Macaca mulatta: one gene and its partner. The protein of the gene in region 1 binds, or shares a complex with, the protein of each later gene. Links are inferred from orthologs where the notes say so. Each region holds a gene or a part of one and is shown on either strand. Other genes may lie near its edges. The genes, in order: DNTTIP1 and MIDEAS.

Evidence for each region.
Region 2: the proteins of DNTTIP1 (region 1) and MIDEAS are in contact, whole or in part, in a cryo-EM structure (PDB 6Z2J), measured with the Homo sapiens proteins. The link is inferred for Macaca mulatta from reciprocal best matches to the Homo sapiens genes DNTTIP1 and MIDEAS. Residues at the interface, in NP_443183.1 of Homo sapiens: Pro63, Ser66, Leu69, Leu70, Ala72, Val73, Leu74, Pro76, Ser77; in NP_001036783.1 of Homo sapiens: Gln768, Asp771, Leu772, Thr774, Ala775, Ser778, Ser779, Ile802, Leu803, Leu806.

The regions. Positions count from the first base shown.
Region 1 is NC_133415.1:98,590,926-98,594,741, forward strand, and holds part of DNTTIP1 (deoxynucleotidyltransferase terminal-interacting protein 1), read left to right. Parts: intron 1-1,243; coding exon 1,244-1,289; intron 1,290-3,355; coding exon 3,356-3,414; intron 3,415-3,515; coding exon 3,516-3,576; intron 3,577-3,816. UniProt on the Homo sapiens protein: Increases DNTT terminal deoxynucleotidyltransferase activity (in vitro). Also acts as a transcriptional regulator, binding to the consensus sequence 5'-GNTGCATG-3' following an AT-tract.
Region 2 is NC_133412.1:146,959,328-146,963,820, reverse strand, and holds the start of MIDEAS (mitotic deacetylase-associated SANT domain protein), read left to right. Parts: upstream 1-1,630; 5' UTR 1,631-2,174; intron 2,175-2,882; exon of another isoform or gene 2,883-2,973; intron 2,974-4,493.

The DNA of each region.
Region 1 (3,816 bases):
GAGAGAGGGGCCCTAAAGGAAAAGAGGCCAGGGTTCTGTGCCCGTCAAAATCAGATCCATTAGCTTAAGTCATCATGGAGGGAGGGGAGTTACCCTGGTTTGAGGGGTGAGGAAGAAGGGTAGTGAGGAGGAAATTGTTTTACCCCCTGAACAATTTGGCCCAGCTTGATTGAACACCAGAGGTTTGTCACTGTTAGTATATATTGAATGCTTATGACTGGTCTAAATACGTTACATACTTTACCTTTTAATCTTTATAGCCACCCTCTAAAGAAGGTATCATTAATTTTTCAGATACAGAACAGACTCAGAGAATTACTTGCCTAATGTCATATAGTTACCATTACCTCCAAATTGGTCATTTTCATATATATATATATATATATTTTTTTTTAGACTTAATTTTTTTTAGAGCAGTTTTAGGTTCACAGCAAAATTGAGAGGAAGGTACAGACTTATCCCATATGTTCCCTGCCCCTACACATGCACAGCCTCCTCCATTATCAACATCAGGCACCAGAGTGGTAAATTTGTTACATTCGATGAGCCTGCTTTGACTCGTCTTGATCCTCAGAGTGCATAGTTTCCATGAGGGTTCACTCTTGGTGTTGTACCTGAACTTAGAGAAATGCATAGTGACAGGCATCCACCATTCTAATATCACACTGAGTGCTTTCATTGCCCTAAAAATCCTCTGTGCTCTGCCTATTCATCCTTCCTTCCCCCCTCAACCCACCCCCCAGCCCCACTTTTTAAAAAAATTCTGAAGCAGCAGAATCTTTTTTAAACAAAACGTTACATGGAAGCCCAGTATTTAAATCAAATAAAGCCACACTGGTTTGGGTCAGAGGCGTGGGGTTAGTTTGAAACAACTGGTTTAGTAGATGGGATAGTATTAACTGTCATACCTTAGATGTGTCTCCTACGCAAAGCAGTTTTATTCCTCACAAACACAAGATAGGTAGGGCAGTTGCTGTTTTTGTCTCTTTTGACAGATGAGAAAACTGCCACTCAGAGGTTCTTGGAGTTGCTCATGCCACTATGTAAGAGCAGAGCTAGTGCTAGAATGGCTTCTAGTCCAGTGCTTTTTTTCTGTTTGTTCCTCCTCTAATGTGTCACCACGAAGGAGGATACCCAGGCTAAAGTGAGAGTGTGTGAGGAACTCCTACCACCACCAGCAAGCCAGTATTCAGTTCTAGGTCTCACCTTGGAGAATTCACCTTTATTCTTTCCTTCCAAGCAGATGGAAACCAAAATCCTGTGAACCAATTCGCCGGGAAGGTCCTAAGGTATGATTATATGAGCATGGCAGAGACCACTATCCCAGGAGCTAGTCCCACTATCTCTGGGATCCACCATGGGGGAAAGGGGCAGGGGGCGAAGGATGCATGTCCACCATTCCAGAGCCATCTTCCCCCTCTCCACCTCCAGCCACACTGGCCTCAGAGAGGATCCTGTGTGGGAATTGGAGTTAGAGGCAAAACAAAGAGAAGGCTTGACTCTTTGCTGAAGCCTTCTTGTAGGAGCTAGTGGTCACTAATACTGACTCAATACTTAGTATGTAACAGGCAATGCCCTAAATCTTTTGTGTAGACTGTCTCATTTAATCTTTATAACAAACTCATGAGATCGATTCTGTGAACCATTCTATGAATAAGGGGTTTCCTTTTCTGCCAACTTCCCTGTGGGCATAAATTACTTTATTCAGTTGTCTTATACACTTAATGCACTTAAGACTTGCCCAAAGTCTGGCCGGGCGCGGTGGCTCAAGCCTGTAATTCCAGCACTTTGGGAGGCCGAGGCGGGAGGATCACGAGGTCAGGAGATCGAGACCATCCTGGTTAACATGGAAACCCCGTCTCTGCTAAAAAATACAAAAAACTAGCCGGGCGAGGTGGCGGGCGCCTGTAGTCCCAGCTACTCCGGAGGCTGAGGCAGGAGAATGGCGTGAACCCAGGAGGCGGAGCTTGCAATGAGCCGAGATCCGGCCACTGCACTCCAGCCCGGGCGACAGAGCGAGACTCCGTCTCAAAAAAAAAAAAAAAAGACTTGCCCAAAGTCACATAACTCGTAAGTGATCGAGCCAAGTCTCAAACCCAGGACCCGCTGACACCAGAGTCTCTGCTCTCAACCATTAGCCTCTGTTGCCTCCCTTTCTCTCCTGAGTTCTTCCTCATCAGTGACTTATATAAATGGATGTTCCCCAGAATTCTCTCCTTGGCCCACTTCTCCATCTAAAGTAACTCTCTGGATAATCTAAATCATATACTCTTATGGTTTCAGGGACCACCATGTTCTAAAACTCCCATACTTCTTTGTCCATCCCATGCCTCTCTTTCTACTTTAAAACTTATATATCCTACTATCTGGTTGACCACTCTGCTGGAAGTTCCATAGTCATTTCAGACTCAGCATATCCAAACATGAAATCAGAATCTCCTCACAGCCCTTCTTTACATTGTTTATCTTAATCATCTTTGCCTCCTCCTCTTCCTCACCTCCCTACATCCAGTCAAGTCCTGGACAATTCTCCCTCTTAAATATATTGCAGTTCCTATTTCCTTCTCTTCATCCTTACTGCTGCCCTAGCTCAGGCCCTTAGCATCTTTCCAACTGCTTTATCACAGCGGCCTCTAAACTGCTCTCCCTGCCTGTAGTCTTGCTCCTTCAAATCCATTATCCACATTGCTAGAAGACTAACCTATCTTTAAAGTAAATCTCTCACTCCCTGTTCAGAGGCCTTCAGCAATTCCCCATTGCCTACAGAAGATATAAAATGCAGTCCCCTGAACATAACCTCCCAGGACCTCCTACTCCTCTGTGTTTCTCTCTCCAGCCCCATCAGTTGCCACTCCCTAATTTGTACTCTGTTAGCAGCACAGAATTACTAGCAGTTTCTCCAGCATGCCAGGCTGCCTCTCACCTGTCTTTGCTCATGCTGCCCCCTGTCTGGAATGCCCTTGTTCCTCACCCACTTTACCCCAACTTGTGCTCACCCTTTCAGAATTAACTTGGGAAATGCCTCTCTAAGGAAGCCTTCCTGGCTGTACCCTCCCCTCGGCAGCCCTCAGACCCTGCACTCACCTGTGTCATTGCCTCATCGCATAATGATGTAATTATCTGTACATATGTCGGTGGCATCCTAGAAAACAGAGACTGTATCTTATTCACCTCTTTATCCCCAGTATCTAGCACAGACAGGGCCTAGCATATTGTGAGTACTCAGTGTCTTAGGTAAACGGTTGATTAAATAATAGACAAGGGTAAGGGTTAGAAAAGGGCAGGGGGAGGAGTATTTCTGTCCTACTCACCAGATTAAACTTCACCCTCACCAGCTTCTCTGTTTTTTGCACAGTGGGACCCAGCTCGCCTGAATGAATCTACCACCTTTGTGTTGGGATCTCGAGCCAACAAGTAAGTTTAAGAGCTTTGGCACTGATGGAGGAAACAGCTCAGGAATTCACTCGTAGGACTACACTTTCTGGAATCTTTACCACTTGGCTTTTACTTTTCAGGGCGCTGGGGATGGGGGGCACCAGAGGAAGAATCTACATCAAGCACCCACACCTCTTTAAGGTAGGTGAGTGCTGAGAGGAAAGCAGGCCATTGCATTGGGAGTAGACTGGGAACTCCACTCAGCACAGAGAAGCTTAGAACAAACACTGATCTTGGAGTCGGGACATCTGGGTTCTAGTTGCACCTCTGCCATTCACTTTTACCTTTCATGATTTACTCAGCACCTCTGTGCCTCAGTAATAACAGCTACTTTGCCTGCAAGTTTATTGGGTGCCAAACACAGTTTTAAGTACCACACTT
Region 2 (4,493 bases), on another chromosome or scaffold:
TTGAGATGGAGTCTTGCTCTTGTTGCCCAGGCTGGAGTGCAATGGCACGATCTCAGCTCACTGAAACCTCTGCCTCCCGGGTTAAGCAATTCTCCTGCCCCAGCCTCCTGAATAGTTGGGATTATAGGCATGTGCCAACATGGCCAGCTAATTTTTGTATTTTTAGTAGAGACAAGGTTTCACCATGCTGGCCAGGCTGGTCTCCAACTCCTGACCTCAGGTGATCCACCTACCTCAGCCTCCCAAAGTGCTGGGATTACAGGCATGAACCACCACACCCAGCCTTATTTATCAGTCTCTAAACCCAGAACTTTCACACTTCTTTATCTGAATCTAGGAAATTTGTTTTACATTCTGACACTGCACGAATGTACCTATATAGTACATAATTGAAACAAATGCTACACAAAACAATACTTATTATTACTTAATGCAATACAACCAATATTGCATGCAATACTTAATGCAATGCAAAAAGTTAAGTTTTAATATATTCTCTTTTTGTAAAAAGAAACACCCTGGTGCTGACCCATAACCCCTCTCCTGAGACAGACTTACTTTCCCCCTTCTCTGAGATCTCATAGTGCTCTCTGCAAAGCTCAACTCGAATACTTCTCATACTGCATTGCAATGTATGTCATTCTCTCCCACTAGGGACTTTGTTCTTTTCATCTTTGCATCCCTAGCATACACAGTAATAGACATCCAGTGAGTGTTAACTGAAGAAGTGAGTGGAAAATGCCTGTCTGAGCTGGGCATGGTGGCACATGTCTGTAATCCCAGCACTTTGGGAGGCTAAGGCAGGCAGATCACCTGAGGTCAGGAGTTCAAGACCAGCCTGACCAACATGGTGAAACCCTGTCTCTACTAAAAATACAAAACTTAGCTGGACGTAGTGGCGGGAACCTGTAATCCCAGTTACTTGGGAGGCTGAGGCAGGTGAATTGTCTGAACCCAGGAGGCAGAGGTTCCAGTGAGCTGAGATCATGCCATTGTACTTCAGCCTGGGAGACAGAGTGAGACTCTGTCTCCAAAAAAAAAAAAAAAAAAAAAAAAGACAATGTCTGTCTATGTGCTCAACACAACAGAAAAGGATGGTACTTCCCCTCTATGGTGCCACATGATGCCTAGTGTGGTGTTGGAGAGCGCAGACCTTGGCAGTGAGCAACCGGGCTCAGGGAGGAATTCCTATGGATAGGAGTATATCCGCCTCCTGCAGAGAGGACCTAAATGCATAAAGAACTAGGACCAGCGACTTTAACCATTTCCCCCCTCCTTGGTTTTTTTCCCTGAAACGATGTGTTTGCATCCCCATGCTAGAATGCCTTTCTGTCCTCCACAGTAATTTAATTATATAAAACTGACTGTGCAGACTCAAAATTTGGGGCATTTGGCATTCTTGCAAAGCCAGACTCTAGGAAACATGCCCATTGCTGAACACATTGGATGTGGTTTAGGTAGCAAAGCAAATGACCTAACAAGGAATATATGTGCTGAGCCTAGTTCCTGTTAAATTAATAGATTCACGTTCTGGCACATCCACAACCTCACAAGTCATAGCAACCGGATGACGGCATGGCAACACAGCAGCTGCGGCCACTGTACATGAGAAAAATCAGAGCCTAGTGTCTCTGGAGGGAAAACAGAAACGGCCTCTACAATTGCTGGCTTGTACTGGATTGACTGAAGCGAGGGAGCCGTGGGGGCAATCACAAGTAGATGCCTGCCCTGGTCAGGGATTGAGTATGACATCTCTCCTGCTTCCTGAACCTTTGTTTTATATTTTAAAAGTAAATAATTTGTTCCAGCCAGAGAGGAAATGATGCTGAGAGAAAGACACCATCACGTGGACAGAATGTTCTCCCTCGCCCTAGCAGCAGTGTGGAGTTGATCCTTATCAGTGATAGTCCAGGACTTGCTCTTCAACAGCAGGACCACAAGCCTTTCTTCCTAGTTTTTTGACCTTCCACCCCAACCAAAATCGCCTACCCCTTCTGGCTGCCAGGGTTGAAGGCCCTTCTTGCCAACTCTCCTTCTAGGATGAAGCCCTGACTCCACAGCCACTGTTTGGGCCAAGCCCTTAGGGATCAGGGTAAATGCCCGGAGATGGAGGAAGAGGATGCCTGGACAGATGTCAATTCTGATGACACAAAAACATCTGCATGTGCTGTCAGGTAGGTGACACCCAATACCAGGGCTGCCTGGGACCGAGCAGGAGTCCACACCCCCTGACCTAGTTTAAAGTCAAGAATGACCCTTGCTCTGCAAAAGGACTGAGAGCTGGGCCTTCTGTTCTTGGGGTTTGTGTCTTACGCTTAGATCTGGCTCCGGCCCCTGCTTTCCTTTCCATGTTCTATCAGGAAGGCCATGCAGGGTTGTCACTGAGTCCCCATGGATTCTCTACTGGTCTCTGTCTTATTAGTGGCCGTGTAATGAATTCCTCAAAACACAGCAGCTTAAGACAACATTTATTATCTTATAGTTTCTGTGGGTGAGGAATCCAGGCAGCTTAGCTGGGTGCCTCTGCCTGAAGGGCCTGAGGGAGGCCCTTCAGCTATTGGCTGGGGTTGAAGGTCTTATCTGAAGTCTTGATTCATATAGGGGAAGAAGAGGCATCCCTTTCCAGGTTCTCTCAAATGGTGGTTGGCAGGCCTAGCTCCCTTTCTACCAGGCTGCCTTAGGACGTGGCAGTTGGCTTCCCCCACAGTGAGCGTTCCGAGAGAGCGAAAGGCATAGAGAGGACCGAGTACGGAAGCCGCAGTTTTTTTTATAACCTAGTCTCAGAAGTAACATCACATCACTGGCCATATTCTATTTGTCAGAACTCAGTCAATGAATTCAGCTTACACTTAAGGGAGAGGATTATACAAGGGTATGAATACCTGGAGGCAGAGATCATTGGCAGGGGGTGCATCTTAGAGGCTGTCTACCACATCCTCCACATGGTGCCCTGGTACTCCAGCAACTGCCACCCTATATAGAGAGAAAAGCAATGTATGTGTAAGTGTCAGGCCTTCACACATTTACACTGTCTGCTAATTACTCCTGGGCATGCAGAAATACTGAATATTCATGAAATTGTGACTGAAAATTTGGAATCACATACAGAACAAAAAAAAATTCAACTCTTGTTTTAGCAAATATGGAGTATCACATGATTGCCTTTAGAAGCCTGGATAACATATTCTCTCTACTCATTGGTTGCCTTAAGCAGAATGCCCTAAGGAATTACTTCTATTTATTCCAAAATTGAAATGGGCAATCCCTTCACCATCTTCCCACAACAGTGTGATGTAAGAAGAATTTCAGAGAAGTTTAATTATTGAGTCTAATGATGCACTTATTTCTCAAAGCTGTATTATTTTTCTTGCATTGCACATTTTGTATTTATGATGTGCCATTAATGTTTTAGTAAAAATCAGAACTAGGGCGAAGCAGCTGCAACGTGGAGGATTTCATGTTGCTAGGAGAGCTTCGATCTTCATATTTCCTATCTTTGGGTGAATCTGTGGCTTTCCATGAGGGATTAACACAGACCTGGGGATCATTTCCCAAATGTCATTTTCCACCAGTCTTACATCCACCTTTCTGAACAAAGCCTTCACTCAAGTCTATGGTTTCCTGTGTTTTCATAAAAAGATGAAGCATTGGAAGGGGTAGGTTTTATCTGGCCAGTGTGCTAGGAGAAGCAGTATTTGGGGAAAAAAGGAAAATTGTTGAGCCCTAACATGCTTTTGAACCACCTATTAAAAGATCCCTGTTTTCCACGACAAGCTACAATGAAGCTAATGTTTCTGTTATGAAAGCCCTTTACTGCAGTTTCGAATGTCTTTTTGTTTGTTTGTTTTTGTTTTCACCAGCAAAGGCTAACCCCGTTTTTTCTCCAGCCTTATGGGATCAGGAGTTCTTCCTTCAAGACTGCTGTTTAACTACTTGGTTGCTACTTACCCTAAAGGTGGCTTTCCGTTGTACTTTTTAATAAGGTGAACACATTTATTTTTAGCAATGATAAATTTCAGGATTACTATTGCCTGAAGCTGCCCTTCTCATGCCTCCACCCTACCCTCTAAGTCACTCTTGACCGGTGATGAAACAGAATGCATCAGACTCCATTCTCTGTGAGTTGAGTGTAAAGGAAGAGGTGGAAATCGCGGGGGAGGATTAGAACAGAAACCATGCTGCAGCCCCAGCTTCAGCTTGGGCGCTGAAATAGCCCCCAGAAGTGTGATACGTGGTAAACGTCTTGCTCACTTATAACCCGTAGAAATGACAAGGAACATCATGCAGACTTTTAGAGAGAACGTGGGGACTGGGACCCTTGTTTTAAGGCCCACTTTAGGCATTATTTAAGAACACAGCGCACACTGCTTTCTGACATGACATTTTTAGCCCCAGCACCAAACAGAAAAACTTTTTCTTTCCCCTCCCCAACCCCTTTGTTTGTGTACTGGTGTTTCTCCTGGAACCCCAGCTTTACAGGGACCCTGAACCCC